4 linked regions of the Anolis sagrei genome follow. The protein of the gene in region 4 interacts with the protein of the main gene of each other region in a pairwise test. Links are inferred from orthologs where the notes say so. Each region holds a gene or a part of one and is shown on either strand. Other genes may lie near its edges.

Evidence for each region.
Region 1: the proteins of SUMO1 (region 4) and SOX2 interact in binary tests that used the Homo sapiens proteins (3 or more experiments, as listed by UniProt). The two-hybrid records come from large-scale screens. The link is inferred for Anolis sagrei from reciprocal best matches to the Homo sapiens genes SUMO1 and SOX2.
Region 2: the proteins of SUMO1 (region 4) and SETX interact in a two-hybrid assay, tested with the Homo sapiens proteins (2 studies listed by BioGRID and IntAct). The link is inferred for Anolis sagrei from reciprocal best matches to the Homo sapiens genes SUMO1 and SETX.
Region 3: the proteins of SUMO1 (region 4) and ZCCHC7 interact in binary tests that used the Homo sapiens proteins (3 or more experiments, as listed by UniProt). The link is inferred for Anolis sagrei from reciprocal best matches to the Homo sapiens genes SUMO1 and ZCCHC7.

The regions. Positions count from the first base shown.
Region 1 is NC_090023.1:258,757,068-258,763,804, reverse strand, and holds SOX2 (transcription factor SOX-2), read right to left. Parts: upstream 2,363-6,737; 5' UTR 1,601-2,362; coding exon 578-1,600; 3' UTR 516-577; downstream 1-515. UniProt on the Homo sapiens protein: Transcription factor that forms a trimeric complex with OCT4 on DNA and controls the expression of a number of genes involved in embryonic development such as YES1, FGF4, UTF1 and ZFP206. Binds to the proximal enhancer region of NANOG.
Region 2 is NC_090031.1:18,074,829-18,082,457, forward strand, and holds the start of SETX (probable helicase senataxin), read right to left. Parts: upstream 3,002-7,629; 5' UTR 2,809-3,001; intron 328-2,808; 5' UTR 327-327; coding exon 156-326; intron 1-155. Other genes in the region: TTF1 (transcription termination factor 1), read left to right, coding at 4,319-4,950, 6,405-6,622, 6,711-6,896. UniProt on the Homo sapiens protein: Probable RNA/DNA helicase involved in diverse aspects of RNA metabolism and genomic integrity.
Region 3 is NC_090022.1:152,631,049-152,638,567, reverse strand, and holds the start of ZCCHC7 (zinc finger CCHC domain-containing protein 7), read left to right. Parts: upstream 1-4,499; 5' UTR 4,500-4,701; intron 4,702-7,519.
Region 4 is NC_090021.1:165,250,711-165,258,581, reverse strand, and holds the start of SUMO1 (small ubiquitin-related modifier 1), read left to right. Parts: upstream 1-4,869; 5' UTR 4,870-5,063; coding exon 5,064-5,075; intron 5,076-7,871. UniProt on the Homo sapiens protein: Ubiquitin-like protein that can be covalently attached to proteins as a monomer or a lysine-linked polymer.

The sequences.
Region 1 (6,737 bases), on a different chromosome or scaffold from region 4:
ACCCTGGAGGGAAGGCTCAAGTTTGCCCATGCCTGATACATAGGAAGCAGTCTGATGACACCAAGCACTGAGTGAGTGGGGCGTTGGAACCTGGGAAAGGAAGGAAGGAAGGAAAGAAGGAAGGAAGGATAGGGAAATAAAACAAACATATTTTGGGTCAGGGGAAAAAAAACCCATCTGCATTGACCACTGAATGCCACTTCGAACCGGTCTTGAAGGAAGAGTTTCCCTGTGCAGGTGAAGCAGACCTAGGAAAGGAGTTGGATGACACCAAAGTGGGGGCGCATTCATTCCCTGGCCAGTGGAGACGGGGCCTTGGCCCGACGGCTGGAGAGAGAGGGGGAGGGAGAGCTCCCTCTATTTCTCTCCCTCTCTTCCTCTCTCTAGACCCCCTCCCCTCCCTCCCCTCCCCGGCGAGTCTTTGGGGCCCTGTCCAGTTCCTTCTCTGTACAAAAATAGCGGGGCGGAGGCGCGGGGAAGGAGTTCACGGAGAGTCTGCACCCCGCTTGGTCCGTCCATCCGTCCGCCCCGGGAGGGGAGCGTGGGGGTGGGTGGGTGAGTGGGGGGCATGGGAGGCTCACATGTGGGAGAGCGGGAGCGTGCCGTTGAGGGCGGCCCCGGGCCCCCCGGCGCCCTGGTAGTGGGGCCCCAGGTGGAGTCTGCTGGCGCTGCCGGGCTCGGGCGCCTCGGCGGCGGGGAGGTACATGCTGATCATGTCCCGGAGGTCCCCGGCCTGGCAGGGGGCGCGCGCGTGGGCGGAGGCGCTGCCCACGGGGGGGCTGGAGGAGCTGGCCTCGCTCTTGACCACGGGCCCCATGGCGGAGAGCGGCATGGCCCCGGGGGGCGCGGAGGAGCCGCCTTGCTGGGCGTAGGAGGCGGCGGTGGGCATGGCGCCGTAGCCCGGCGAGCCGTTCATGTAGGGCTGGGCGCCGTACTGCTGGAGGGCGCTCACGTCGTAGCGGTGCATGGGCTGCATCTGCGCGGCGGCGGCGGCGGCGGCGGCGTGGGCGTTGAGCCCCGGGTGCTGCGAGTAGCCCAGCTGCTCCTGCATCATCCCGTAGCCGCCGTTGGACCAGCCGTTCATGTGCGCCGCGTAGCCGTCCATGCGCTGCTGGGCGCACCCGCCGGGCCCCAGCGCCGAGCCCGCGACGCCCACCCCGCCGCCCAGCCCGCCCGAGCCCGCCGCCGCCGCCAGCAGCCCGCCCGGCAGCGTGTACTTGTCCTTCTTGAGCAGCGTCTTGGTCTTCCGCCGCGGGCGGTATTTATAATCCGGGTGCTCCTTCATGTGCAGGGCGCGCAGCCGCTTGGCCTCGTCGATGAAGGGCCGCTTCTCCGCCTCCGAGAGCAGCTTCCACTCCGCGCCCAGCCGCTTGGAGATCTCCGAGTTGTGCATCTTGGGGTTCTCCTGCGCCATCTTCCGCCGCTGCCCGCGGGACCACACCATGAAGGCGTTCATGGGGCGCTTCACCCGGTCCGGGCTGTTCTTCTGGCTGTTGGCGCCGCCGGACACGCCGTTGTTCCCGCCGCCGCCACCGCCGCCCGCCGTGGCCGTCGCCTGCGGGGCCGCGGCCTTCAGCTCCGTCTCCATCATGTTGTACATGGCGGCCAAGGGGAGAAGAGGCCCAACACCCCAAGGAGGGGAACGACGAGGAGGGGAAGCGGGCAGAGGGGCAGCCAAGCACACAGTCAAGGAAGGAAGCCCACAAGGCAGGAAAAGTCAGAAGTCGGGCTGCTGGGGAGGGAGGGTCGGAGGGAGGGAAGGAGAGGCTGCCCCCCCAAGCAGCAGAGCCTCCCTTCACCGACCAGCCTCTTCCTCTTCTCTTCCTCTTCCTCTCTCTCTCTCTGCCAACAGCGGCCTTCCTTCCTTCCTTCTTTCCTTCCTTCCTTCCTTCTTCGGGTGGCTACTCTCAGGCTACTCCAGGAGAATCATAACAAAGGCGCCTGGGAGAAAGTCCTGCTGGAGAAAACTTCTTCTTCTTCCGTCTCCCCTATTCTTTCTCTTCACTCGGCGCCCCCTTTTTTTCCTTCCTTCCTTCCTTTCCTTCTTTCTTTCTTCCTTTCTTTCTTTCGGGAGCTCTTAAGTCTTAAAGAGCCCGCAAAGGGAGGAAAATGGGGGGGAAAAGTCTCTGTTTCCCCCTGTTTTGTTTTGTTTTGTTTTCTTTCTTTCTTCCCAAACTCTTTCTTTCTTTCTCTCTCTCTCTCTCCTCGCCTTTCTCTCTCTCTCTCTCTCTCTCTCTCTCTGCCTTGACAACTCCTGATACTTTTTTGAACAAGTTAATAGACAACCATCCATGTGATGGGGGGCTTGTCAGGGAATAAATGCCTTCGCCTCGGCCAATCAGAGCTCGCCCGGCTCCTCCACTGAGCGCCGGCCTCGGATGGGAGTTTTGCATGAAAGGGGGCGGGGCTTCTCTCACTCACTCACTGCTCCCCCCCCCCCCCCCATACACACACACACTAGTATCCAGCCGTGAGCGGCTTCAGGGCGGGGAGGCGGGACATGGAGGCTGCCACTCAAAAGGGCCCCTCCGAGCTCCTCTTTGCAAAGCAACAGGTCACACACACGCCTCGGGGAGGGAGGGGGGAAGGAGGGAGCGCGCAAACGGCCGTGTGGACGCGTTCAACAACAACAACAACAAACAACGGCAACGGCTTCACTTGAGTGCGGGCTAGAGAGGAGGAAAGGGAGGTTGCCCCTTGGCTCCCCCCTACTCTTCTCTTTTAAGCCAGGCCCAGAGAGGGAGGGAGCCTTCTTGGCCCCACTTCTCCCTGTGGACGCGCGTGGGCTCTTCCACCCTCCGCGGTTGTTGGGCTTTTCTTCCCAGGCTGAAAGCAGCAAGTGAGAGCTCCACAACCCACTTGCCTTGCTGCTTTCAGCCTGGAAAGAAAGGCCTCGGGCCCACCCCAAACCTGCCCTGGCCTTCTCAGACAAGGGTCCCTTGGCAAGAAGGAAACTCTCTCCTTGGCTTTTGTCCCAAACTCTCAGCTCAGCCAGGGAGACCCGTGGTCCACCCTACTGGTTCTCACTGAGCTTCCTAAAAAGGCTTCTTGAGGACCTGGTTGTTAGCAGAATAGTCCCTGGGAAGTCAACCTGGAAAGAAAGGCCTCGGGTTCACCTCAAACCTGCCCTGACTTCTCAGACAAGGGTCCCTTGGCAAGAAGGAAACTCTCTCCATGGTTTTTGCCCCAAACTCTCAGATCAGCGGAGGAGACCCTTGGTCCACCCTCCTGGTCTCCACTGGGCTTCTTAAAAGGCCCTCTTGAGGACCTGTTTGTTAGCAGAACAGTCCCTGGGAAGTCAACCTGGAAAGAAAGGCCTCAGGCCCACCCCAAACCTGCCCTGGCCTTCTCAGACAAGTGTCCCTTGGCAAGAAGGAAACTCTCTCCTTGGCTATTGCCTCAAACTTTCAGCTCAGCGAGAAGATCCTTGGTCCATCCTCCTAGTCCTCACCGGGCTTCTTAAAAGGACCTGATGTTAGCAGAACAGTCCCTGGGAAGTCAACCATAAGAGGGGCAGATGCCACCAAGCCTCCTCTTCTTCCCAAACTGGGCCTCCTCAACCAGTTTAGGGATAGCCTTTCCTCCAGATTATCACACAGCCCTCCATGAAATAATTAAAAGCCTTTCTCTACCCCCTTCAACATTTTCTTCCTCACATGGAGGAGGGATTCAGTGCAAACACACACACACACAGATACCATCTCAGTGCTTCAGAGTCACAGAATCTCCTTTTTTCCAGCCAGAAACCCTTCCAGCTCCAGCAACCTCCTCCCTTCACATTTCCCCCAACTATTTAAAAAAAGTATTTTAAAAAGGTGCCATTATTTCCCTCCTCAAACAGCCCTAGGAAGCAGGTGCACAGGTCCAAGAACAAGTAGGCTTTTAAAAGAAAGAGGTTCTGGAGAGGGAGCCAGGGGGGTAGCTGCAAGGCATGGGATTATTTTAGCACTCATTAAGTCTTTTAAAGAATTTTAATCGATTTGGTTGTTTAATTCTATTTTAATACTTGTATGTTAAAGATATGAAATAGCACTTTTTAAAAAAAATGTTGTGAACCACTTTCCACCCCAATCTAGAGACAAAGGCAGGATACTAATAATAATTATGGTGATAATAATAAATAACAAGGAGAAGAGGGGGCACAGGCACACACATCCATGTTCCCTCCCTGAGCCCTTGTTTTTGGGGGTGAAGAGAGGTAGGAGCCAGGAAAGGCGAGGAGGCAGAGGAACTCTTCTATTCTGTGGATTATTGCTAGATATTAGACATACAGCTCAGGGTGCATTTACAGTAGGCACGGGCAAACTTGGCCCCTCCAGGTGTTTTGGACTTCAACTCCCACCATTCCTAACAGCCTCAGGCTTCCTTTCCCCCCTCAGCCCTTGTGCCGGCAGGACTGAAGACCGACAGGTCAGAGGTTCGAATCTGGGGAGAGGGTGGATGAGCTCCCTCTGTCAGCTCCAGCTCCCCGTGCGGGGACATGAGAAAAACTTCCCACAAGAATGGTAAAACATCAGAATATCCTGGCGCCCCCTGGGCAATGTCCTTGCAGACGGCCAATTTTCTCACATCAGAAGCGACTTGTAGTTTCCCAAGTTGCTCCTGACACAAAAAAAAAGTCCTGAAAAATTCGGCAATCACTAGTGGCTTTCAGTTTTGTTGCAAATTCGGGGGAAAGGGTCCCACTCTTCTGCCCTTATTTTTCACTTATTTAAAATTTTCCAAGCAGATGCTGCCAGCCACATTTGTGTTTTGGGAAGGGCGGGCGAGTGAGGAAAGACCCCGCAAGCCCACCTGCTCAAAAAGCACCCCCTTACCCCTGAGTAACGAAGCCAGGATGTTTCCCCCCCCCCCCTTTCCTTCCTCGGTCCGTTAGTCCTGCTTTAATGTATTGTCGGAGGGTTTCATGGACGGAATCACTTAGTTGTTGTGAGTTTTCCGGACTGTTTGGCCATGTTCCAGAAGCATTATCTCCTGACCTTTCGCTTGCATCTATGGCGGGCGAAACGTCACGACCTCTGGGGATGCCTGCCATAGATGCAGGCGAAAAGTCAGGAGAGAATGCTTCTGGAACATAGCCAGACAGCCCGGAAAACTCACAACAACCCAGGCCCCTTCTACACAGCCCAGAATATCAAGGCAGAAAATCCCACAATTCCTGCTTTGAACTGGGTTAGCTGAGTCTACACTCAGGGCCCTTCCAGACAGCCCTGTATCTCAGAATATCAAGTCAGAAAATCCCACAATATCTGCTTTGAAGTGGGCTAGCTGAGTCCACAGGGCCCTTCCAGACAGCCCTATATCTCAGAATATCAAGTCAAAAACCCCACAATATCTTTTTGAACTGAGCTAGCTGAGTCCTCACTCAGGGCCCTTTCCACACAGCCCCATATCCCAGAATATCAAGTCAGAAAATCCCACAATTCCGGCTTTGAACTGGGCTAGTTGAGTCTACACTCAGGTCCCTTCCAGACAGCCCTATATCTCAGAATATCAAGTCAGAAAATCCCACAATATCTGCTTTGAAGTGGGCTAGCTGAGTCCACATTCAGGGCCCTTTCCACACAGCCCCATAGCCCAGAATATCAAGGCAGAAAACCCCACATTAAATGAGTGTGGACTCAGATAACCCAGTCCAAAGCAGATATTGTGGGATTTTCTGCCTTGAAGTCCTGGGATATAGGGCTGTGTGGAAGGGCCCCTAGTCCTGCTTTAAGTTTGTTTCAACTTCAAACTCGAATGGCTTGGGGGGGGGGGGGAGAGAGAGAGAGAGAGAGAGAGAGAAAAGATAGATGGAAAGGCTTTGGGAGCCGATTAGAAATTTTGATGGCGTTTGGAGAGGTTGAAGAGGCCTTCCAAATGGAAGAGGGAAGGGGGGGGGGAGTATTGACAGCGTTTCAAAACTCTCCATCGAATCTCGTCCCCTCTCCCTCTCTCGCTCCCAAAGGGAGGGGGAAAGCGGTTGGAAAGTGATTTCTATGGGAGGGAGGGAGAGAGAGACACAAAAGGGAAGGAGCCCTAGACGCCAGGCAGGGCGCCCTGGACTCTGAGCGCCGGGGGAGAGACTCGAGGGACGGGCCTGGCGCGCCCCCTCCTGGCCGATCCGCTGCCCGCCCCCACGGCCCAAAAGAGCGTCCCAGGGAAAAACAAAGCCCTTCCAAGGCCCCCCAAAAAGGAAAGCGGGTACCCAGCCGTTAATAGGAACAATTAATTGGATTTTTCGGAGGGTAGACTTTATTATTACCCCAAGACTTTGTTATTATCCCGAGATGTGTTGATTCAGACAAGAAATGCCCAATTCTCTCACTTGATTTTTGTTTACTGGCGCTGTAAAGACGTGAAGGAGAAGAAATAGACCCCCCCCCCAACCAAAAACAAAAAACCCCAAAGACAGACACGTTGTAATTGTCCAGACACTATATTTAACTTGGATGTTGTTTATACTTTCGCCTAAACACTCGGGAACGTCCTTCCCTCCCCCTCCCAAAAATATCTTGGAAGGAAAGGGGAGGAAGCAAGATTGTCGCTCTTCACACCATGATGGAGGGATAAATCCGGAGTAAATCGGTTGCGGGGAGCGGGGGGGGGGGGAGAGAAGGAAGGTCCCTCTCTATTTATCCCTCCACTCACGAAGCTTTTTCTTGCCACGCTACTCTATAATAAACACAGTTAAGCGGTGAAAGTTGGGCCTCTCCGTTAATTGCATTCGCCTTCAACAAGGCACGAAGGCGGCGAAA
Region 2 (7,629 bases), on a different chromosome or scaffold from region 4:
CGCAATGCGCACCCTCATTTTGGGAAGCTAATATAGCCCCAAAAGGTGAGCACTGGATTCAAGTAAATAGCGTAATTTCAGCCCCTTGCGACCAACAAGTTGTACAGGCTTGATATACATTTGCAAAGCAGCTTCACAAGCAAGGTGCTACCAACCTCATGCAAGTCAGGGAGCTCTTCCCGGGCCTTGTGATACTCGTCCACGCACTCCAGGCAATAGCAGAGGTCATCGTTGGCAGCTGCAAAGTCCGAGGAGGACGAGGCATAGCTCCGTAGGAGCTGCACGGCCCTAGCGCCCCCCGGGGTGCACCAGCAGCAGGTACTCATTCTGCAGGGAGAGAAACACAAGGAAGAAGAAACGCAACACCACAGGACTCAACAAATGCTAAGTCAAAGGGAAATCCCCACAACTGGCCATCCCTGAGTTACAGACATCCAACTTGCAATGACTTGCAGTTAACAACAATGGGATTGAGACCACAAGAAGTAAGAGGAATCTTATCTTAAATATAAATAGTATTTGTATTATTAATTATATTATTATAAGGCAAAGGTTGTCCCCTGACATTAAGTCCAGTCGTGTCTGACTCTGGAGGTTGGTGCTCATCTCCATTTCTAAGCCGAAGAGCCGGCGTTGTCCATAGACACCTCCAAGGCCATGTGGCCATTGGCATGACTGCATGGAGCGCCATTACCTTCCCGCTGGAGCGGTACCTATTGATCTACTCACATTTGCATGTTTTCGAACTGCTAGGTTGGTCAACAAGCTCAGCAGTTCAGCGCTTTAACCCACTGTGCCACAGTTATATATATATAACATTATAAAATATATGTGTGTGTGTGTGTATATATATATATAGATATAACATTATACAATATATATATTATATAATAATATAATATATATTATAATGTATATCATTATATTACATCTTAGTAACATTATAATTATATTAGATATGTTATTATATATCATTAGTATCATATTATATGCATTACTGTTATATATATATATATATATATATGTATACAGGCTGTTCCCAAGTTACAGACACCCGACCTGCAGCGACTTAAAGTTAAGAACTACGGGCTGAGACCACAGGAAGTGAAAAGAATCTTATATTATAATATGGAAATATATTGTTGTTGTTCATTCGTCTCCAACTCTTCGTGACCTCATGGACCAGCCCACGCCAGAGCTCCCTGTTGGCCGTCACCACCCCCAGCTCCTTAAAGGTCAGTCCAGTCACTTCAAGGATGCCATCCATCCATCTTGCCCTTGGTCGGCCCCTCTTCCTTTTGCCTTCCACTTTCCCCAGCATCATTGTCTTCTCCAGGCTTTGCTGTCTCCTCATGATGTGGCCAAAGTACTTCAACTTTGTCTCTAGTATCCTTCCCTCCAGTGAGCAGCCGGGCTTTATTTCCTGGAGGATGGACTGGTTGGATCTTCTCGCAGTCCAAGGCACTCTCAGCACTTTCCTCCAGCACCACAGCTCAAAAGCATCGATCTTCCTTCGCTCAGCCTTCCCTAAGGTCCAGCTCTCACATCCGTAGGTGACTACAGGGAATACCATGGCTTTGACTAGGCGGATCTTTGTTGCCAGTGTGATGTCTCTACTCTTTACTATTTTATCGAGACTGGACATTGCTCTCCTCCCAAGAAGGAAGCGTCTTCTGATTTCCTGGCCTCAGTCTGCATCTGCAGTCATCTTTGCACCTAGAAATACAAAGTCTGTCACGGCCTCCACATTTTCTCCCTCTATTTCCCAGTTGTCAATCATTCTTGTTGCCATAATCTTGGTTTTTTTTATGTTTAGCTGCAACCCAGCTTTTGCGCTTTCTTCTTTCACCTTGATTAGAAGGCTCCTCAGCTCCTCCTCGCTTTCGGCCATCAGAGTGGTGTCATCTGCATATCTGAGGTTGTTAATGTTTCTTCCAGCAATCTTAACCCCAGCCTTGCATGCATCAAGCCCTGCACATCCCATGATGTGTTCTGCATGCAAGTTAATAAGGTTGGGTGAGAGTATGCAGCCTTGCTGTACGCCTTTCCCAATCTTGAACCAGTCTGTTGTTCCGTGGTCAGTTCTGACTGTTGCTACTTGGTCCTTGTACAGATTCCTCAGGAGAGACACAAGGTGGCTTGGGATGCCCATCCCACCAAGAACTTGCCACAATTTATATATAATATATTAATAATATCTATTCTAATAATAGGAAACCTTTTTCCTAGTTCCAACAGACCTCACTACCTCTGAGGATGCTTGCCACAGATGCAGGTGAAACGTCAGGAGAGAATGCCTCTAGACCATGGCCTGAAAAAACCTACAACAACCCACTGCTCTAGAGGCCTTAGATCAGTGGTTTTCAACTTGAGGTCCCCAGTTGTTTTAGGCCTACAACTCTCAGAAACCCCAGCCACTTTACCAGCTGTTGGGATTTCTGGGAGTTGAAAGCCAAAAAGATAATTAGAATCATAGATTAATGGAGTTGGAAGAGACCACGTGGGCCAGCTAGTCCAACCCCATTCTGCCCTGCAGGGAAAGCACAATCAAAGTCTCCCTGACAGATGGCCGCCCAGCCTCTGTTGAAAAGTCTCCAAGGAAGGAGCTTCCACCAGACTCTGAGGCAGAGAATAGATGATATAATTATGCTCCTGAGGATCCCTTCTGCCTTTCCCTTCCTGGCCTTTGGGCGAGAACAGCCTGCGCCTTTAAAAGGGAGGCCCATTGGAGTCGGAGGCCCTTTAATGCCTCCGGAAGGGCTGTCCCTAGGCCGCGGCCTTCCTTCCTCGCCGTGAGGCCCCGCTCACCTCCTTCTCCTCCGCCGCCTTCTCCTTCTCCTCCTCCCGGGGTCTTCGGCCTCCCTCCTCCAGCCATGAATTTCCGCTCGGGCCTCTACTCCTCCTCCTCCTCCTTCCCTCAGGGCACCCTCTCCGCTCGCGAAGAAACCGGCACTTCCGACTCTGGCGACCCCGCCGCGCCTGCGCAGTCCGCCTTGCCTCTCCGCCTCTCCCAAGATGGCGGCCCGCCTCACTTGAGGAAAGGAGCGCCGGAAGCGGAAGTGACTTTGGAAGGAGGTCTCAAAAGGAGGCTGAGAGGAAGCGGGAGACTTCGGTGGTGAGATGGAGAGAGAGAGAGAGGGATATAGAGAGAGAGAGAGAGAGAGAGAATTAGATAGATACAGAGAGAGAGAGAGACATAGATAGAGAGACATAGAGAGAGTGATAGAGATAGAGATATATATATAGAGAGAGAGACAGAGAGAGTGATAGATAGAGAGAGAGAGAGACATAGAGAGACAGATAGAGAGAGAGAGAAAGAGAGAGAGAGACATAGAGAGAGTGATAAAGAGATAGAGAGAGACATAGATATAGAGTTATATATATAGAGAGAGAGAGACAGATAGAGAGAGACATAGAGAGAGAGAGAGAGACAGAGAGAGAGACATAGATATAGATATATATATAGAGAGAGACACAGATAGAGAGAGAGACAGATAGAGACATAGAGAGATAGAGATATATATAGAGAAAGAGAGAGACATAGAGAGAGAGAGAGACAGATAGAGAGACATAGATATAGAGTTATATATAGAGAGAGAGAGACAGAGAGAGAGACATAGATATAGAGATAGATATATATATAGAGAGAGAGACACAGATAGAGAGAGAGACATAGAGTGATAGAGAGAGAGAGACAGATAGAGAGACATAGATATAGAGATATATATATAGAGAGAGAGACAAATAGAGAGAGAGAGACATAGAGAGAGAGATATATATAGAGAGATAGAGAGAGAGAGACATAGAGAGAGAGACATAGATATAGATATATATATAGAGAGAGAGAGAGAGAGAGAGACATAGAGAGAGGGAGAGAGAAACATAGATATAGAGAGATATATAGAGAGAGAGACAACCGCCCTGAGTCGCCTTCGGGTTGAAATGGGCAGGATAGAAATAATGTAAATAAATAAATAAATATACAAAATGTTTGTACTATGTATTGTGATATATGTATAGTATGCAATGTATTGTTTATGGTATTTTATATCTTACATAATATCTTACGTATATATTCCATATTATGAAATACATTGCCTTATATTATCTTTATCATTATTATTCTTAACTTTGTTTATACCCCACCTTTCCCCCCATGGGGACACTCTCTCTCTCTCTCTCTCTCTCTCTCTATATATATATATATAATCAATTGATTTCCAAGGATTGGGTTATCAAATCCTTAGAAAGTCTCTCCTAACGTCAAGCTAACATTACCTGTGTGAGACTGAACCTCTTGTTTCCTTTTTAAGAAGCAATGAGCGACGGAGCAGAGGATTTGTGCGCAGACAGCCTTCCACTCTTCGTTTCCCCAAAGAAGAAGAAGAAGAAGAAAAGGAAATTGGAGGAATTGAACGGAGAGGAAGAAGCAGAAGAGCGTTGGGTGAATCCTGCTGAAGATGCAGAGAATGATCGGACATCCAAGAGGAAGAAGGACTCCCAATGGGTCGTCAAAGAGAGCGACTTAGAGAGCGAAATGGGAATACATCCCAAGAGAAAGAAAAAGAAGAAGCACCGATCAAAGGAACAAGACGTTGAGCATATAGTCCCGGAAACACCAGAAGAAATCTTGGATCATTTGGAAGATGCGGATTGTGAAGTTCGTCCCAAGAAGAAGAAAAAGAAAGCAGCAAAAGAATCATTAGAAGACGGCGAAGGCCTTTCCATAGACAAGGTTGGCTTTGCAAGGGATGCAAAGGAACTTGTTATGCCTTCAGACATTGAAGACGTTTTGCAGAATGGGGCGGAAACCACGCTTTCTGCACCAAGGAAACCCCACAAAAAGCATAAGAAGCATAAAAAGCATCGATCTTCTTCCCCCAATGCATTTGACGACAACCCAGAAATGGCTAAAGATGGAGAACAGGACCAGTCCAAGCGACATCCTGCGTAAGTATTCGATCCTTGCGCATTTTCATCTTTGCAGTATTTCACACCTTTGAAACCGTTCAGATAATGCTTTTTTTCTAGGCAGCCTCCAACTTGTGTTCCAATGTTGGGCACTTACTACAGTGTTCCCTCACTTATCGCGGGTGTACCGTTCCAGGACCACCCGCGAAAAGTGAAAATCCACAAAGTAGGGACGCAATCCGAGGGTGAGTCAGAAGCGAGGAGAGATTTAACAGCACTGCATACCTTTTTTTTTTACTAGCCATAAGGAAGGGGCCATAATATAATATAATATGATATAATATAATATAATATAATATAATATAATATATATGCATATATTTATAATATTATAATGTAATACAATATAATAGTAAAAATAATACTATGATATTATAATTAAATATTTTATATTACATGCAATGTTACTAATAATATTACAATATAATGGTATAGTACAATATAGTAATATATAATACTGATATTGTACTATGCTAATAATATAATATATATATTGTACGTATATATGTATATCTTGTAAACCACTCTGATTTATTGGCAGTGAGAAGGACGGCATATAAATGTTGTAAATAAATAAATAAATAAGGCATACTGCTTTGTATCTCCTCTCTCTCTTTTTTATGGTTGGCTGCCTCTCTCCTGAGGGGGAGGGGGAAACCCCCTTCCACACTCCATCGTTGCCAGGAGGCAAAACCCCGCAAAACAGCGAGTCTGTGAAAAGCGAACCGCGAAGTAGCGAGGGAACTGTATATTTTCTTAGATTATTATTATTATTATTATTATTATTACTAATCTTATTATTTAATTATTATTATATTTTCTCAGATTATTGTTATTATGTTTACTAGTAGCTTGGGTACCCTGCAATGCCCGGGTTGTTTGAAAAAGGCCTTGTTTGTTTTGCTTTAGCTGAGAATTTCTTATCTTTTTCTCTCGGAGTCTAGCAGATCACCAAAGCCACTATTCGGCACTCCTGTTTTGACTGATCTCTTCCCGTCTATCTATTTGCTCATTAATTTCTGCAGCTGGGCCAGATGCCGAGCTGTTTTCATGTTCCCTATCATGGGAACTCTCTGGTAACAATTCAGAGAGCACACCATCATCCCCACACCCCTCAGGGACATTCTCATGGGAAACTACACTTTGCACAGGGGTCTCCTTGTCATTCTCTGCATCAATATCCCTGGCCAAACCATTGCCACCTTGAAACTCATTAACATCACTCCCCACATCCAAAGCACCCTGATCCTGAAGCACAATCACAAAGGGCAGTCAACCACAAACCCTGCCAGTATGCCAGTATGTATGTCATGTTGGGTCTGTGTGCCAAGTTTGGTCTACATCCAATGTTGGCTGAGTTTGGTGTTGATAACCCAGGAGCACAAAACGTGTCTAATGCCTTGTGTCCCTCTCTTCTGTCTGCCCTGTTTCAGTGCATCTCTAGGTAAACAAGGGCCTCTTCCTCCGTCCTCGGAGCCTCTGGAGCTGGACAACGAGTTCTTTGATTCTCCGGACGTTGTATCGCCGGACCTGGAGAGCCTCACTCGGGAGCTGGAGGAGTTCATTCCGGACATCCGGCGGCGCCCCGAAGAGTTCATCCGCCAGCTGGCGCGCAGGGATCTCCTCCGCTTCAGGAACTTCAAGAAGCAAGGTAAACGAGTGTCTTTGTCGAGGGTCCTGTGGGATATTTGGGGCTGAAACATGTGGGGAAACCAAACAGCCTTCTTTCCCTGGCGCAGGGATTGCGTTGAAGTTTGGGAAGTTCTCCCGGGGGGAGAATGCACTGCTGCGCCGGAACGTGGAGGCCTTTCTGGAGGAAAGCGGCATTGACTCCGCTGAGAAGCTGCTCTTCACCCACCGCTTCCCCGAAGAGAAGGACACTCTCAAGAAGCTCAAGGCACGGCATTTGTTCGGACTCAAGATCGGTAAGCTTACAACTAGTTTCCAAACCCTTAATCAGTACTTACTACTTACTTACTTAGGCGACCCCTCATTTTCCGAGGAGGATTGTCTTCCAGTATTCTTGTGGGTCCGTATGTGGCTGTGGAGCCCTATTCTTGCTCTGCATCTTCTTCCGCAGTGAGGGCATTGGTTTCCAGGTGGAAGGCGGTCTCGGTCGGGGTTGGCTTGACGCGCATTCCTCTTGGCACGCTTCTCCCTTTCGCCCTCCATTCGTGCCTCTTCAAATTCTGCAGCACTGCTGGTCACAGCTGACTTCCAGCTAGAGCGCTCAAGGGCCAGGGCTTCCCAGTTCTCAGTGTCTATGCCAGAGTTTTTAAGGTTGGCTTTGAGCCCATCTTTAAATCTCTTTTCCTGTCCACCGACATTCCGTTTTCTGTTCTTAAGTTCAGAGTAGAGCAACTGCTTTGGGAGACGGTGGTCGGGCATCCGGACAATGTGGCCGGTCCAGCGGAGTTGGTGGTGGAGGACCATCGCTTCAATGCTGGTGGTCTTTGCTTCTTCCAGCACGCTGACATTTGTCCCCATGACGATGCTTAGGATTATTACCATCTTGACTCAACTCTCATTCGCCACTGAATCTAATGCACAATCTAATAGAGCTCGAGATAAAAATAAGTAAGAGGCAGATAAAAATATAATAATAACATTATTAATAATAATAATTAAGAGGCAGGTAAGAAATAAAATAACATTAAT
Region 3 (7,519 bases), on a different chromosome or scaffold from region 4:
TTATTATTGTTCCAAAGAAACCCAAATTAACTTGCATCCTTATATGGAAACATTTTTCAAAGTCTCTCTAGCCCACTCCAACCACAATACAAACATTATTTTTTAAGGAATTCCAACTCTTCCCTATGGTCTATTCTTTCAAGGTAATTAATACAGAATAGCACACCTGTACACCGTGAACACATTTGATGTGGAATATGCTGATAAACTGGGCCCCAGAAAATGGGTCACTGATTATATTTCCAATTTGCATTTGGCTCCTGTTCACTTTTTGCTAGTGTGCCAGAAACACAGGTGCTAAAAAGAGAATACTGCAGCCATGGATTTATATTGTCTATCTTGCATTCATCATCAAACCGTGCCTTATAGTTTGCTGGGGCTGTTTTGCTGGAGCTATTAATTTAAATTCTTTCTCCAAGGTTTGTCTCTCTAAAAAGGAAAGAAAGAAAGAAATCACCCAACAGATTTGCGCATATGAATAGAGTGAAACAAAGAATATAATCTTAACCCCAGTGAATGGTTTTCAGACTGACATCTGTACATTAAGAATATGTAAAAATACCAATTTCATGCTCTGACAGCTTATTCTGCAGTGATGGTGTGGGATAATACCATGGGAATGCCAAATGTCAAAGCATTACATAAGTCAGCCATTCATATGTTCTTTTGGTGAATGTTCCTTAAGGGACATTCTTCTTTAAAATGAGAATGCGAATGAGAATGAAGGAAGCAAAGCACAATCAAGACAAAAAGATTTAGGGCAATTTGAAGAATTAGGATTAATGTGAAAATAAACAACTACATTAAGCATGATTTTTTTTTAAAAAAAAAAAGAATTTGTCTTCTCAGATCTTGGAAAGTTACTTTCCCAAAGCATTTAGTTTCACGATCCCTATTTAGTTACCAATCTAGATACAGTGTTTATAACAAATGCTTTCACACATCTCAAAATGATTAAAATACTTACTTTTGGTTACATTAAAACATTCTGAATTCCTCAAGCTGTTGGGTTGTGATGTTGCAAATTTCTCACCCCCTCTATCTCAGTACCCACAAAATAATAATAATAATAATAAGAATAAGAAGAAGAAGAAGAAGATGTAACACGAGATAATATGACAAACCAGGTCATATTGCTCTCTGCCATTTGGCGAGGTTAAATCCCCCAACTTTAACACAACCATTCCAGATTATGTAATGAAAAGTTCTAAAGGATATGAATACTTCAAATGATGCTTTGGTGGACCAATAAAGGTATCAGCAAACTCTGGGCTTTAATTCATAGTCCACACTGCTAAGTTTATTTTCTTTTTTTAAAAAAAGTTACAGTTGTATTGTCAAAGATGTGATGTGTACCTTATCCCTACATAAATTAGGATAGACTCCATCAACTCTGCTGGGCCGGCCACGTTGTCCGGATGCCCGACCACCATCTCCCAAAGCAGTTGCTCTACTCTGAACTTAAGAACAGAAAACGGAACGTTGGTAGACAGGAAAAGAGATTTAAAGATGGCCTGAAAGCCAACCTTAAAATCTCTGGCATAGACACTGAGAACTGGGAAGCCCTGGCCCTTGAGCGCTCCAGCTGGAGGTCAGCTGTGACCAGCAGTGCTGCAGAATTCGAGAAGGCACGAGGAGGTACGAGGGTGAAAGAGAGAAACGTGCCAGGAGGAAGGTGTGTCAAGACAACCCCGACCGGGACCACCTTCCACCTGGAAACCAATGCCTTCACTGTGGGAGAAGATGCGGGTCAAGAATAGGGCTCCACAGCTCCACAAGGAAACCCATCATGGAAGACCATCTACTTGTCCAACGAGGGATCGCCTAAGTAAGTAAGTAGGATAGAACATAGTTCCGCCTTAATTACTGGAGAAAAGGAGTGAATTAAGTTTTCTAAATGGTGTTGTGACACATTTGTGTGTTAGCTTCATTGTGTATGTGTGCCACACAAGGTAAAGGTTTCTCCTTGACATTAAGTCTAGTTGACTTCAACTCTGGGGGGTGATGCTCATCTTCATTTCTATGCCAAAGAGCCAGCATTGTCCGTAGATGCCTCTTAAGTCATGTGGTCAGCATGACTGCATGGAGTGCCGTTACCTTCCGACCGAGATGGTATCTATTGATCTATTCAAGCTTACATGTTTTCAAACTGCTAGGTTGGCAGAAACTGGGACTAATGAAAGGAGCTCACTCTGTCCCAAGGGTTCGAACCACTGACCTTCTGGTCAACAAGTTCTGCGCTTAATGGTTTAACCCACTGCACCACCACATGCCTTATAAACATAACAAATAAACCTCTGAACCGATGTGAAGGGAATAATGATAGGCTTTCGTTAGGTATGTTGGGTCCCCATACTTTTTGTTATGACAATTCATGTATGTGTCTGTATCTCTCATAAGGGGTTGATTTAACCTCCAGTTTGCTAGTAAAACAGAATTACTGTGCTGCAAAATGATGTATGTCTATAAAGTGTGTCACTAATATGAAATGTTTGAAAAGCTCTGAGTTAAGTAGTTACTTATTTGTAATTATTTATTTATTATCCTGCTCACTGGAGGAAAGGATAGTAGAGGCCAAGATGAAGTACTTTGGCCACATAATGAGAAGACAGGAAAGCTTGGAGAAGACAATGATGCTGGGGAAAATAGAAGGACAAAGCAAGAGGGGCAGACCAAAGGCAAGATGGATGGATGGTATCCTTGAAGTGACTGTTTTGACTTTGAAAGAACTGGGAGTAGCCACGGTTGACAGCTCTGGCGTGGGCTGGTCCATGAGGTCATGAATAAATAAGCTTTATTTCTGGAATTGCAGAGGGATTGGTTGTGATAGAGCACTTTGTTTTTCTTGATGTTCAATGAGAGGCAAGCTTTTCATATGCTTCTGCAAATGTGTTTAAAGTGGTTTGTAGGTCTTCCTCTGAATGAGCACAGACTACATTATCATCATCATACTGAAGTTGTATAACGAGCTTTTGTGACCTTATTTTTTGTTTTCAGTCTGCTGAGGCTAAAGAGTTGCCATGAGTCTCATAGGTGATTACTTCATCGATGGAAAACTTTCAGTTAACAAGGTGCACAATCATAGCCATGAATGTGGAAAACAAGGTTGAAGCAATTAACGCATCCCTGTTTGACACATCATGTCATTGTGATGTCAGGTGAAGGAAAACTTGGAACATACTGTAGACCAGGGGTCCTCAAACTTTTTAAACAGAGGGCCAGGTCACAGTCCCTCAAACTGTTGGAGGGCCGGATTAAAATTTGAAAAAAAGCATGAATGAATTCCTATGCACACTGCACATACCTTATTTGTAGTGCAAAAAACACTTAAAAACAATACAAGAATTGAAATGAAGAACAATTTTAACATATATACATTTATTAGTATTTCAATGGGAAGTGTGGGCCTGCTTTTGGCTGATGAGATAGGATTGTTGTTGTTGTTGTGTGCTTTCAAGTCATTTCAGACTTAGGTTGACCCTTAGTGAGGACCAGGTAAATGATCTTGGAGTGGTGAGGGAGGAAGGGGACACCCGCCTAGCTAGCCAGATCAGCCGAATCAACCCTGGCGATCAATGGGGTGACAGATGTCGCAGCCAGATCACCCTCACATCAACTTAGGTTGACCCTGAGCGAGGGCCGGGTAAATGACCTTGGAGGGCCGCATCCGGCCCTTGGGCCTTAGTTTGAGGACCCCTGCTGTAGACAGTAGTTCACCATATACCCAAGCCCTAAGGAGAGGGAAGTAACATTTATTATTATTAACCACAACAATAAATTATTAATTATAATTATCCTATGCTATTTGTTGTTGATCCATTCCTTTACAAATCGACCATTTGCCAAAATATACAATCCTTTGCTTCTCTTTTCCATTTCTGGCCAAATAGCTTAACCATTGGTTTCTCCCATCAAATATGAGGTCTGCCCAAGGGTGGTCTCTTGGTATTCAGTTTGTCTGTCATTCATCAAAATGTCCATTGGTTGTTTTGAGTTATGTTAATCCCACAAACAAACATTACATTTTTATTTATATAGAGGGCACAGATTCCTGACCTCAGAGTATAAAAGGACTGATGCGTGTAAGGTGAGCAAAGTAGGCCACAAATGGATACTATGCCCTTCAATGTAGGGCAGCGTTTCCTAACCTTTGGTCCTCCAAATGTTTTGGTTTTCAGCTCCCAGAATTCCTGACTGTTGGCCAAACTGGCTGGGACTTCTGGGAGTTGAAGTCCTAAACTTGGAGGATGAAGGTTGACATAAAAGGCCAATGTTCCCATATAACCTGGTACAGATCTGGAAGCTCCCGGAAGTGACATCATTGATCAGCTCTCCTTTTTGTAGTTTCAACACCCGAAGGCGGCTCTTTTTCCCCCTTCGCCCCGCCCACCTTCGGAACAGACCTATCAGGCGCCGGCACAGCTGCGCGCACGCTTTGAGGCTTTGTCCTCCGCCCCGCCCCCTCCCTGCCTGCCTCCGCGCGCTCCTTGTGAGTTCAACGGGCTTGCGCTCTCGTCTCCCGGCTTCTCTACCTAAGCGCATGCGCAGTGCAAGGCACGCGCCTCCTCAGGCGCGCGGCGTGGGGTTTCTTGCGTCTCTCAGCGGGCGGAAGCGCAGCCCGACGTGAGGGGCGGGGGAAGGCGCTGACGGCGACGCTGGTTCCGGTCGCGAGGGGCTTCCTGGTCGCAGCAGGCAGCGCTAGTGAGTAGCAGCGTGAGCCCTGAGTGGGCTGCCACGTGTATGAGGGGGACGTGTGTATGGGCCTCCGTGTTAGCCCTACTGTGGGGGAGCCCTTCTGCCTCCTGGCCCTCTCCAGGGCACTTCCCTTCTTCCCCAAGCAGAAGCCCGCCCTGTTGGGGCCGCTCGCCTCAGGAAAATGGGGGGACATGGAGATATCAAACGCAACACCACAGTTGGAGTGCATTGGGCATTTCTGTGGGGTAGAAAGAGTAGCCTTGTTCTGCCCATTCCTGAAGGCACTGTCCCTTCAGACTGTAAAGCAGGCATGGGGAAACTTCGGCCCTCCAGGTGTTTTGGACTGCAACTCCCACAATTCGGAATTGTGGGAGTTGGAGTCCAAAACACCTGGAGGGAAAGTTTCCCCATGCCTGCTATATACCTTAAATAAGTATTTGCAAATATAGATACAACATTATTATGATTGTTTACATCTCGTCGGGACTCAAGGCGGCTGATAATAATAATAATAATCTTTATTCATACTTCGCCACCATCTCCCCAATGCGGACTCGGAGCGGCTTACATGGGGCCAAGCCCGAACAACAATTACAATAAAGAAAAACCAATATACAACCGAAAACGTGAACGATAAACAATAACATAATAAATACATAAAACATGTGGATACATAACTGTTCTGTCGCCGCTGGACCTGAAATGAAGTGCCTTTAAGAGAGGATACATGGCTTGAATCCCAGCGGGAAGCTAGAGGGCCCGAAAAGAAGCCTTTAGAGAATTTTCCCTCATTAAACAGTCTTTAGGAGGCTTGAGCTTAAATATAACAGTCTTTTATTGATGAACAAACAGGAATTGTAAAGCTTTCTTGGCAAAAGCCCGTTCTCTCAAACTTGTCCACAGGGAACAGGCACTATCTTCAATAACTTTGTTCAAAGGAAAATTCCCCTTTCTAGCTCCTCCCAGGCTGCTGTGAACCTAAACCTGACTGATTTGAATCCACTACCGGCTGAATGTCTCAGAACCGAGCAGACGTACCAGCAGGCCTGTAGTCACTTAGCTGGAGATCTTGACGATTAGAGCTGTTATTCCCTCTGGAATTCCTCAGGGCTGTAAGGCTGTTTCCCCGGAACCTTTGGGAATCTTTAGAGGCTCTTAAGACTGTTCTCCCCCGGGAAGTCTTAAGGGACTAAGCCTTTGTATAGGAGGACGTCTGTATACATCCTCTGCATTGACTTCCTTTACTGAGACTAACTGAAAAATGGCCCCTTCCCTCCAAAAAACCCAGAGAGGGGCGGGACCAGGGATCCTAACTATAATTGACAGGTGGCTTGCCCTATGAATGCAGCCAAAGGAAACTACCTATCTGCAAAGTCCCTGCAACTTAGGACTATGACCAAACACTCAGTGCAAAGCACAAAATTGGAGTCCCTGGAACAGCCGTTCCAGAACAATAACAATGTAAAAATTACAATAGACACAGGCACAGTTACAGAAGGCGGGCTACATGTAATTATTAAAAGACAAACTGATTACATCTAATTAAAAACTCAGACAAGATAAAAGAGAGAAGCAGATAATTTGCGGAGGAGGGGTCATTATGATGGGGGTTGTGGAGTCAGGCTTTCCCACGAGGGGGGGGGGGAAGTCTACTCCAATGACAGAACTTTGAGGCTAAAAACAGTCATGTGAAATTGTATACCTACTCATCAAAGGCACAGCGGAAGAGTCAGGTTTTAAGGTTTTTTTAAAAAACGTCTAGAGAAGGGGCTTTCCTAATTTCTCCAGGTAATGAGTTCCAGAGTCAGGGAGCCACAGCAGAAAAGGCTCTCTCCCTTGTACTTACCAGGCGAGCTTGTGACACTGGCAGTGGCGAGAGCAGGGCCTCCCCAGAGGATCGGAGAGCCCAAGGTGGTTCATAATAATAAAACCATAATGCAAAACAAATACAATTTTTAAAAGAAAAAAGGCATATGTGTGCTTACTTTTAAAGTTTAAACACAATTAAAATTGCATTTGAAACTCACCATCCCCCTCATAATCCCACCCACAATTATTATTATAATTATTATAATAATCTATATAAATAAAAATAAAATGTTCGTTTGTGGGATTAACATAACTCAAAAACCACTGGACGAATTGACACCAAATTTAAACACAATACACCTGTCAGGCCAATGAGTGACCATCACTCATAAAAACACTGAAAAACACAGCAGAAGAGACTTTTAAAGCCAAAACGCAAAAAATACATTACAACACATGCGCAGAACCACATATATATAGGCAAATACTCATAAACACATATACACACACAAAACACATACACAGACTGGGCCACAGCAATGCGTGGCATGGGACGGCTAGTAATATAATAATAACAATATCTTGTTTGTAACCCAATTGGCAAACATTCAGTGCCAAGACAGACAAACAACGAATCCAGTCAGAAATAATGGATAAAACAATCTCAAAAACCTATAAAACTACCCCCCCCCAAAATAAAAACACCTTATATGTATTCATTTATTGGGCTGAGGGGACTCAAAGCAGTTTCCAATATAACAGTGGCCAAATTTAATGCTGTACATACATGTGAAAACCAAACCATAATTTCTAGACAATAACATATACTATAAATTAAGAACCTATAAAATTCCTATTGAACTGGATTATATGGCAGTGTGGACTCAGATAATCCAGTTCAAATGCCTTGTTATTCTGGGTTATATGGCTGTGTGGAAGGGCCCTATGAAAGAATGTCTGCTCTCTCATTCCTAACAATGGAGCTTGCAATGGAGATGGGACCAAGAGAAGGGCT
Region 4 (7,871 bases):
ATCGACACTGAAATAAAACACTGCCTGAGCTCTGCGAGTGCAGCATTCTTCCGAATGAAGCAGAGAGTGTTTGAGGACTGGGACATCCATAGGGATACCAAGGTGCTTATCTATAAAGCTATTGTCCTCCCAACTCTGCTATATGCCTGTGAAACCTGGACTGTCTACAGACGTCACATGCAACTCCTGGAACAATTCCATCAGTGCTGCCTCCAGAAAATCCTGCACATCTCTTGGGAAGACAAGCAGACAAACGTCAGCGTGCTGGAAGGAGCAAAGACCACCAGCATTGGAGTGATGGTCCTCTGCCATCAACTCCGCTGGACCGGCCACGTTGTCCGGATGCCCGACCACCATCTCCCAAAGCAGTTGCTCTTCTCCAAACTCAAGAATGGAAAACGGAATGTCGGTGGACAGGAAAAGAGATTTAAAGATGGGCTCAAAGCCAACTTTAAAACTCTGGCATAGACACTGAGAACTGGGAAGCCCTGGCCCTTGAGCGCTCCAGCTGGAGGTCAGCTGTGACCAGCAATGCTGTAAAATTTGAAGAGGCACGAATGGAGGGCGAAAGAGAGAAACGTGCCAAGAGGAAGGCGCGTCAAGCCAACCCCGACTGGGACCACCTTCCACCTGGAAACCAATGCCCTCACTGCGGGAGAAGATACAGGTCAAGAATAGGGCTCCACAGTCATAGAATCATAGAATCATAGAATCAAAGAGTTGGAAGAGACCTCATGGGCCATCCAGTCCAACCCCCTGCCAAGAAGCAGGAATATTGCATTCAAATCACCCCTGACAGATGGCCATCCAGCCTCTGTTTAAAAGCTTCCAAAGAAGGAGCCTCCACCACACTCCGGGGCAGAGAGTTCCACTGCTGAACGGCTCTCACAGTCAGGAGGTTCTTCCTCATGTTCAGATGGAATCTCCTCTCTTGTAGTTTGAAGCCATTGTTCCGCGTCCTAGTCTCCAAGGAAGCAGAAAACAAGCTTGCTCCCTCCTCCCTGTGGCTTCCTCTCACATATTTATACATGGCTATCATATCTCCTCTCAGCCTTCTCTTCTTCAGGCTAAACATGCCCAGTTCCCTAAGCCGCTCCTCATAGGGCTTGTTCTCCAGACCCTTGATCATTTTAGTCGCCCTCCTCTGGACACATTCCAGCTTGTCAATATCTCTCTTGAATTGTGGCGCCCAGAATTGGACACAATATTCCAGGTGTGGTCTAACCAAAGCAGAATAGAGGGGTAGCATTACTTCCTTAGATCTAGACACTATGCTCCTCTTGATGCAGGCCAAAATCCCATTGGCTTTTTTTGCCGCCACGTCACATTGTTGGCTCATGTTTAACTTGTTGTCCACGAGGACTCCAAGATCTTTTTCACACGTACTGCTCTCGAGCCAGGCGTCACCCATTCTGTATCTTTGCATTTCGTTTTTTCTGCCAAAGTGGAGTATCTTGCATTTGTCACTGTTGAACTTCATTTTGTTAGTTTTGGCCCATCTCTCTAATCTGTCAAGATCGTTTTGAATTCTGCTCCTGTCCTCTGGACTATTGGCTATCCCTCCCAATTTGGTGTCGTCTGCAAACTTGATGATCATGCCTTCTAGCCCTTCATCTAAGTCATTAATAAAGATGTTGAACAGGACCGGGCCCAGGACGGAACCCTGCGGCACTCCACTTGTCACTTCTTTCCAAGATGAAGAGGAAGCATTAGTGAGCACTCTCTGTGTTCGTCCACTTAACCAATTCCAGATCCACCTCACCGTAGTTTTGCCTAGCCCACATTGGACTAGTTTCCTTGCCAGAAGGTCATGGGGGACCTTGTCGAAGGCCTTACTGAAATCCAGGTACGCTACATCCACGGCATTCCCTGCGTCTACCCAGCTTGTAGTTCTATCGAAGAAAGAGATCAGATTAGTCTGACATGACTTGTTTTTGATAAATCCATGTTGACTATTAGCGATGACCGCATTTGTTTCTAAGTGTTTGCAGACCACTTCCTTAACAATCTTTTCCAGAATCTTGCCCGGTATCGACGTGAGGCTGACCGGACGGTAGTTGTTTGGGTCATCCTTTTTTCCCTTCTTGAAGATTGGGACCACATTGGCCCTCCTCCAATCTGCTGGAACTTCTCCCGTTCTCCAAGAACTCTCAAAGATGGTTGCCAATGGTTCCGAAATGACTTCCGCTAGTTCCTTCAATACTCTGGGGTGTAGTTGATCTGGCCCTGGGGACTTGAACTCATTAAGAGCGGCCAGGTATTCCTGAACGACTTCTTTCCCAATTTGGGGTTGGATGTCCTCCAAACCCTCATCCACTCCATCTTGCTGAGGTTGAAGACTCTCTTTTTGTGAGAAGACCGAGGCAAAGAAGGCATTAAGTAGTTCTGCCTTTTCCCTATCCCCTGTCAGCATTGCCCCATCTTCTCCTCGAAGAGGTCCTACCGCCTCCTTGTTTTTCCTTTTTCTACTGACATAAGAATAGAAGCCCTTTTTATTGTTTTTAATGTCCCTGGCAAGTCTGAGCTCGTTTTTTGCTTTAGCCTTGCGGACCTTTTCCCTACAGGTGTTGGCTATTTGTTTGAATTCTTCTTTGGTGATTTCTCCCTTTTTCCACTTCTTGTGCATGTCTCTTTTGTGTCTTAGCACAGTTAGAAGTTCTTTGGACATCCATTCTGGCTTCTTTGCACTTGTCCTATTTTTTCTCTTTGTTGGCACAGTTTGCAATTGCGCCTTGAGTATTTCACTCTTGAGAAATTCCCATCCATCCGTAACTCCCTTGTCTTTTAGTATCTGTGTCCACGGAATGCTGCTCAGCGTTTCCTTCATTTTTTGGAAATCAGCTCTCCTAAAGTCCAAAATGCGGGTTTGACTTGTCTTAGTTTCGGCCTTCCTTTGTACCTCAAATTGCAGGAGCACATGGTCACTTGCCCCTAAGGATCCTACCACTTCGACCGCATCGATCAGGTCCTCCGCATTTGTTAAGATGAGATCAAGAGTAGTCAATCCCCTTGTTGCTTCTTCTACCTTCTGGACCATGAAATTGTCTGCAAGGCAAGCGAGGAATTTGTTGGACCTTGTACTCTTGGCCGAGTTTGTTTTCCAGCAAATATCGGGATAGTTGAAATCGCCCATGACTACTACATCTCTTCTCTGTGCCTGTTTGGTCAACTGTTGGCAGAAGACTTCATCAAGTTCTTCCTCCTGGCTTGGGGGTCTGTAGTAGACGCCTACAACGACATCTTTTTGAGTCCCAGTTCCCTTGATTCTTATCCAGATGATTTCAAGCTGGTTTCCCAGATTGCTGTCTTGAATCTCTTCTGTAGCATAAGAGTTTTTGACATATAAGGCTACTCCGCCTCCTCTCCCCTTTGTTCGGTTTCTGTGAAAGAGGTTATACCCCTCGATATCTACATTCCAGCGATAGGAGTCATCCCACCAGGTTTCAGTGATCCCTATGATATCATATTTGTGGTGTTGTGCTAAAAGTTGGAGTTCGTCTTGTTTATTTCCCATGCTCTGTGCATTAGTGTAAAGACATGTGAGCCCCTGAGATCTTCCCCTGAGCTGTTTAATTGGGATTATTGTGCTTTGGGTACTTGGTCCTTGTTGTGTTTGTGCAGCCCTCCGTTTAGCCTTCTGGCGATTCCCAGATATTGTGGGTAAAGTAGTGTTCGCAAGTCACCTACAGACTCACAAGAATTCTGATCCTGGAGGACTATCCTACTCCGCCGACGAGGGATCGCCTAAGAAGATATTCTGGGATATAGGGCTGTGTGGAAGGGCTCTTGAGTCCACACTCAGGTGCATTGTCTGCCTTGATAGTCTGGGCTATAGGGTGTGTGGAAGTGCCCTGAGTCCACACTCAGATGATGTGGGATTCCCTGCCTTGATATTTTGGGCTATAGGGCTGTGTGGAAGGGCCCTGAGTCCACACTCAGATGATGTGGGATTCCCTACCATGCTATTCTGGGCTCTAGGGCTGTGGGGAAGGGCCCATAGTCCACACTCAGATGATGTGGGATTTCCTGCTTTGATAATTTGGGCTGTAGGGCTGTGAGGAAGGGCTCTGAGTCCATACTCAGATACATTGTCTGCCATGCTATTCTGGGCTATAGGGCTGTGTGGAAGGGCCCCGAGTCTACACTCAGATGATGTGGGATTCCCTGCCTTGATATTCTGGGCTATGGGGCTGTGTGGAAGGGCCCCGAGTCTACACTCAGATGATGTGGGATTCCCTGCCTTGATATTCTGGGCTATGGGGCTGTGTGGAAGGGCCCTGAGTCTACACTCAGATGATGTGGGATTCCCTGCCTTGATATCCTGGGCTATAGGGCTGTGTGGAAGGGCCCTGAGTCTACACTCAGATGACGTGGCATTGTCTGCCTTGATATTTTGGGCTACAGGGCTATGGGGAAGGGCCCTGAGTCCACACTCAGATGATGTGGGATTTCCTGCCTTGATATTCTGGGCTCTAGGGCTGTGTGGAAGGGCCCTGAGTCCACACTCAGGTGATGTGGGATTCCCTGCCATGCTATTCTGGGCTATAGGGTTGTGTGGAAGGGCCCTTAGTCCACATTCAGATGGTGTGGGATTGCCTTCCTTGATATTCTGGGCTATAGGGCTGTGGGGAAGGGCCTTTAGTCCACATTCAGATGATGTGGGATTGCCTGCCTTGATATTCTGGGCTATAGGGCTGTAGGGAAGGGCCCATAGTCCACACTCAGATGATGTGGGATTTCCTGCTTTGATAATTTGGGCTCTAGGGCTGTGTGGAAGGGCCCCTTCTCGGCCTGTTTTGCTTGCTTCCCCTCCCTTCCTCCCTCTGCGCGTGTAGGAAGTGAGCTCAGGCGGCAGAGAGGAAGTCCCGCCCCCTCCTTGCCCTGCGCTCTCGCCTCTCTTGCTGGCTCCGCGTTTGGAGGAGGAGGAGGAGGAGGAGGAGGAAGGCAGGAGGGAAGGCGCCTAGGGGTCTCTCTCTCGGGGCAAGGCAGGAGGTGGAGAGGGGACGCGGCGAGGAGGAGGAGGAGGGCGGCTGCCTGCCTGCCTGAGCCCGCCACCCATCAGGATGTCGGACACGGTAGGAGGACGCCTTGCCCGCCGGCCCCGGGAGGCCTGTTTCCGCGGCTCCCCTCGGGGAAAACAAAGGCGGGATCCGCACCGCCGCGACTCCAGGCCATGCCGTTCTCGGCAGTGCAGGATCCAGCCAAGATGGGGAAGGCCAACCCACCATTCCTTGCCTTGCCTGCCTTCCCTCCTCTTCCCTGCGAGGCTTGGCTTCAGAAGAGCCTTCCTCTCGGCTTCCCTTTCAAGGATCCCACCCCTTCTCCCTCTTCCTTCCTTCCTTCCTTCCTTTGCGGGGATGATCTGGACTTGGAGTGAATGGAAAAGGAGGCCGAAGTCTTCCTCCTGGGCCTTGTTTTGTTTACTTGCCAATACACCCAGACCGCAGTGCACGAGTTGGGTCTGTTTGTTTACTTGTCTCAGCGCCGGAAACGAAAGAGGATGACATAGGCCTGCGTTTAGGGGGTGTTTTTTTTTTAGTCTTAGACCCCCATCTAGACTGGATCTACACTGCCATATAATCCAAGGCCTTTCCACACAGCCACATGACACAAAACATCATGGCAGGTAATCCACAAAATCTGATTTGAACCGAGTTATCTGAGTCCACACTGCTATATAATCCAGTTCATTGTGGATTTTATACCGCGATGTGGAAGGGCCCCCAGATTATCAAAGCAGATAATAATCCACATTGTCTGCTTTGAGTTGGATTATAGGAACCCCCCTTCCACATAATCCAGATTATCTGCTTTGAACTGCATAATAGGATGCCCATTCTACACTGTACTATAATCTAGATCAGGGGTCCTCAAACTTTTTAAACAGAGGGCCAGGTCACAGTCCCTCAAACTGTTGGAAGGCCAGATTATAATTTTTAAAAAAATGAATGAATTTCTATACACACTGCACATACCTTATTTGTAGTGCAAAAAACACTTAAAAACAATACAATTAAAATGAACAATTTTAACAAATATAAACTTCTTAGTATTTCAGTGGAAAGTGTGGGCCTGCTTTTGGCTGATGAGATAGGATTGTTGCTGTTGCTGTTGTTGTTGTTGTGTGCTTTCAAGTCATTTCAGACTTAGGTTGACCCTGAGCAAGGGCCGGATAAATGACCTTGGAGGGCCGCATCCGGCCCCTGGGCTATAGTTTGAGGACCGCGACCTAGATTGTCAAAGCCGACACTTCATATTATTGAAGCAGATTTTCCACTTTGAGCTGGATTATAGAAGGCCCCTTCTACCCTGCCATATAATCCAGATTATCATATCAGATAATCCACGTTATCTGCATTGAACTGGATTATAGGAAACCCCTTCAACACTGCCATATAATCCAGATCAGGGGTCCTCAAACTAAGGACCGGTGGCCGGATATGGCTCTCCAAGATTATTTACCCGGCCCTCGATCAGGGTCAATCTAAGTCTGAAATGACTTCAAAGCAGATAATCTGGATTGTATTTGGTAGTGTAGAAGGGACTCAAGTCTCATATCCATACTATAGTTTCTGAACACAATGGTTCTGTTTCTGTATCTAGATTTAGTATGAATTCTGTAAAAGCAATTCTTCCAAATGCTACAAATCTTTTGTCTTCCATCATTACTATTAATTACAATTTTTCTTTTGTCCACCTTTATTGTCCTCTAATTCAACCTTGCAACTTTTAATTTACTTCTCATTGCAAGTGGCAGATTTGAAGTACGGGTAACGTACTATATTTACATCGCACTAGTGAGTTGATCCTTAGTTTTTATTATTGTATTTTGATTCTGAAGTTAACAGCTCTTATAATTCTCAGAGCAACTTTTGTAGCTGATAGTCAAGATACTTCAGAAGATGCAAAAGACCATCAAAGCAGTAGGGAAACAAAACAACAAACAAAACAACTGGAAGCAAAGCTTCTGAATATATGCTGCATTAACTGCAGTGACAACATCTCAACTCCAATATGCAGGTTTGCAAGTTCTTATTTGTGTTTAATTTTTTCATGATTAAATACATATGCATTATGCCTGCCAGGATTTTCCATAGCAGGGTATCGTGTAAAAGGTTTCTACCTGGTTTCTTAATACCAGATGGAAACTTAAGTACATATTTATTTGGCATATTTTCAGCTTTTCAGAGAAGTTTATACCATTTTACCATTGGCTTCTATGAGCAACCCAAGGCACCCGGCTTTCTTTTAAAAAAGAACCAGAAGTTGGGTAATGCTTACTGTTGGTACCAGATGCTTGCCCTTATGTTTCTAGTTGTTAACTTTTCTGATTGGAGGATTACTGTATTTCTTTGATTCTGAGGTGCCATTGATTGTAAGACATACACTAATTTCAGTACTACCAAAATAATAATAATAATAATAATAATAATATTACATTACATTTTTTGATGTCAGGACTTGAGAAACTGCAAGTTGCTTCTGGTGGCCCTCTGCAAGGATGTTGCCCAGGGGATGCCCTGGTGTTTTACCATCCTGTGGGAAGCTTCTCTCATGTCCCTGCATGAGAAGGTGCAGCTGATGGGAGCTCACCCCGCTCCCCGGGTTTGAACCGATGATCTTTCGATTAGTAGTCTTGCTAACACAAGGATTTAACCCAGGGCTCCTCAAACTTTTTAAACAGAGGGCCAGGTCACAGTCCCTCAAACTGTTTTTATGAGTGACCATCACTCATAAAAACACTGAAAAACACAGTGGAAAAGACATTAAAAGCAAAAAAATAAATAAAATAAAAATACATATCACAACACATGCACATAACCACCTAAGTACACATATACACAAATATATACACATACACAAAAAAACAC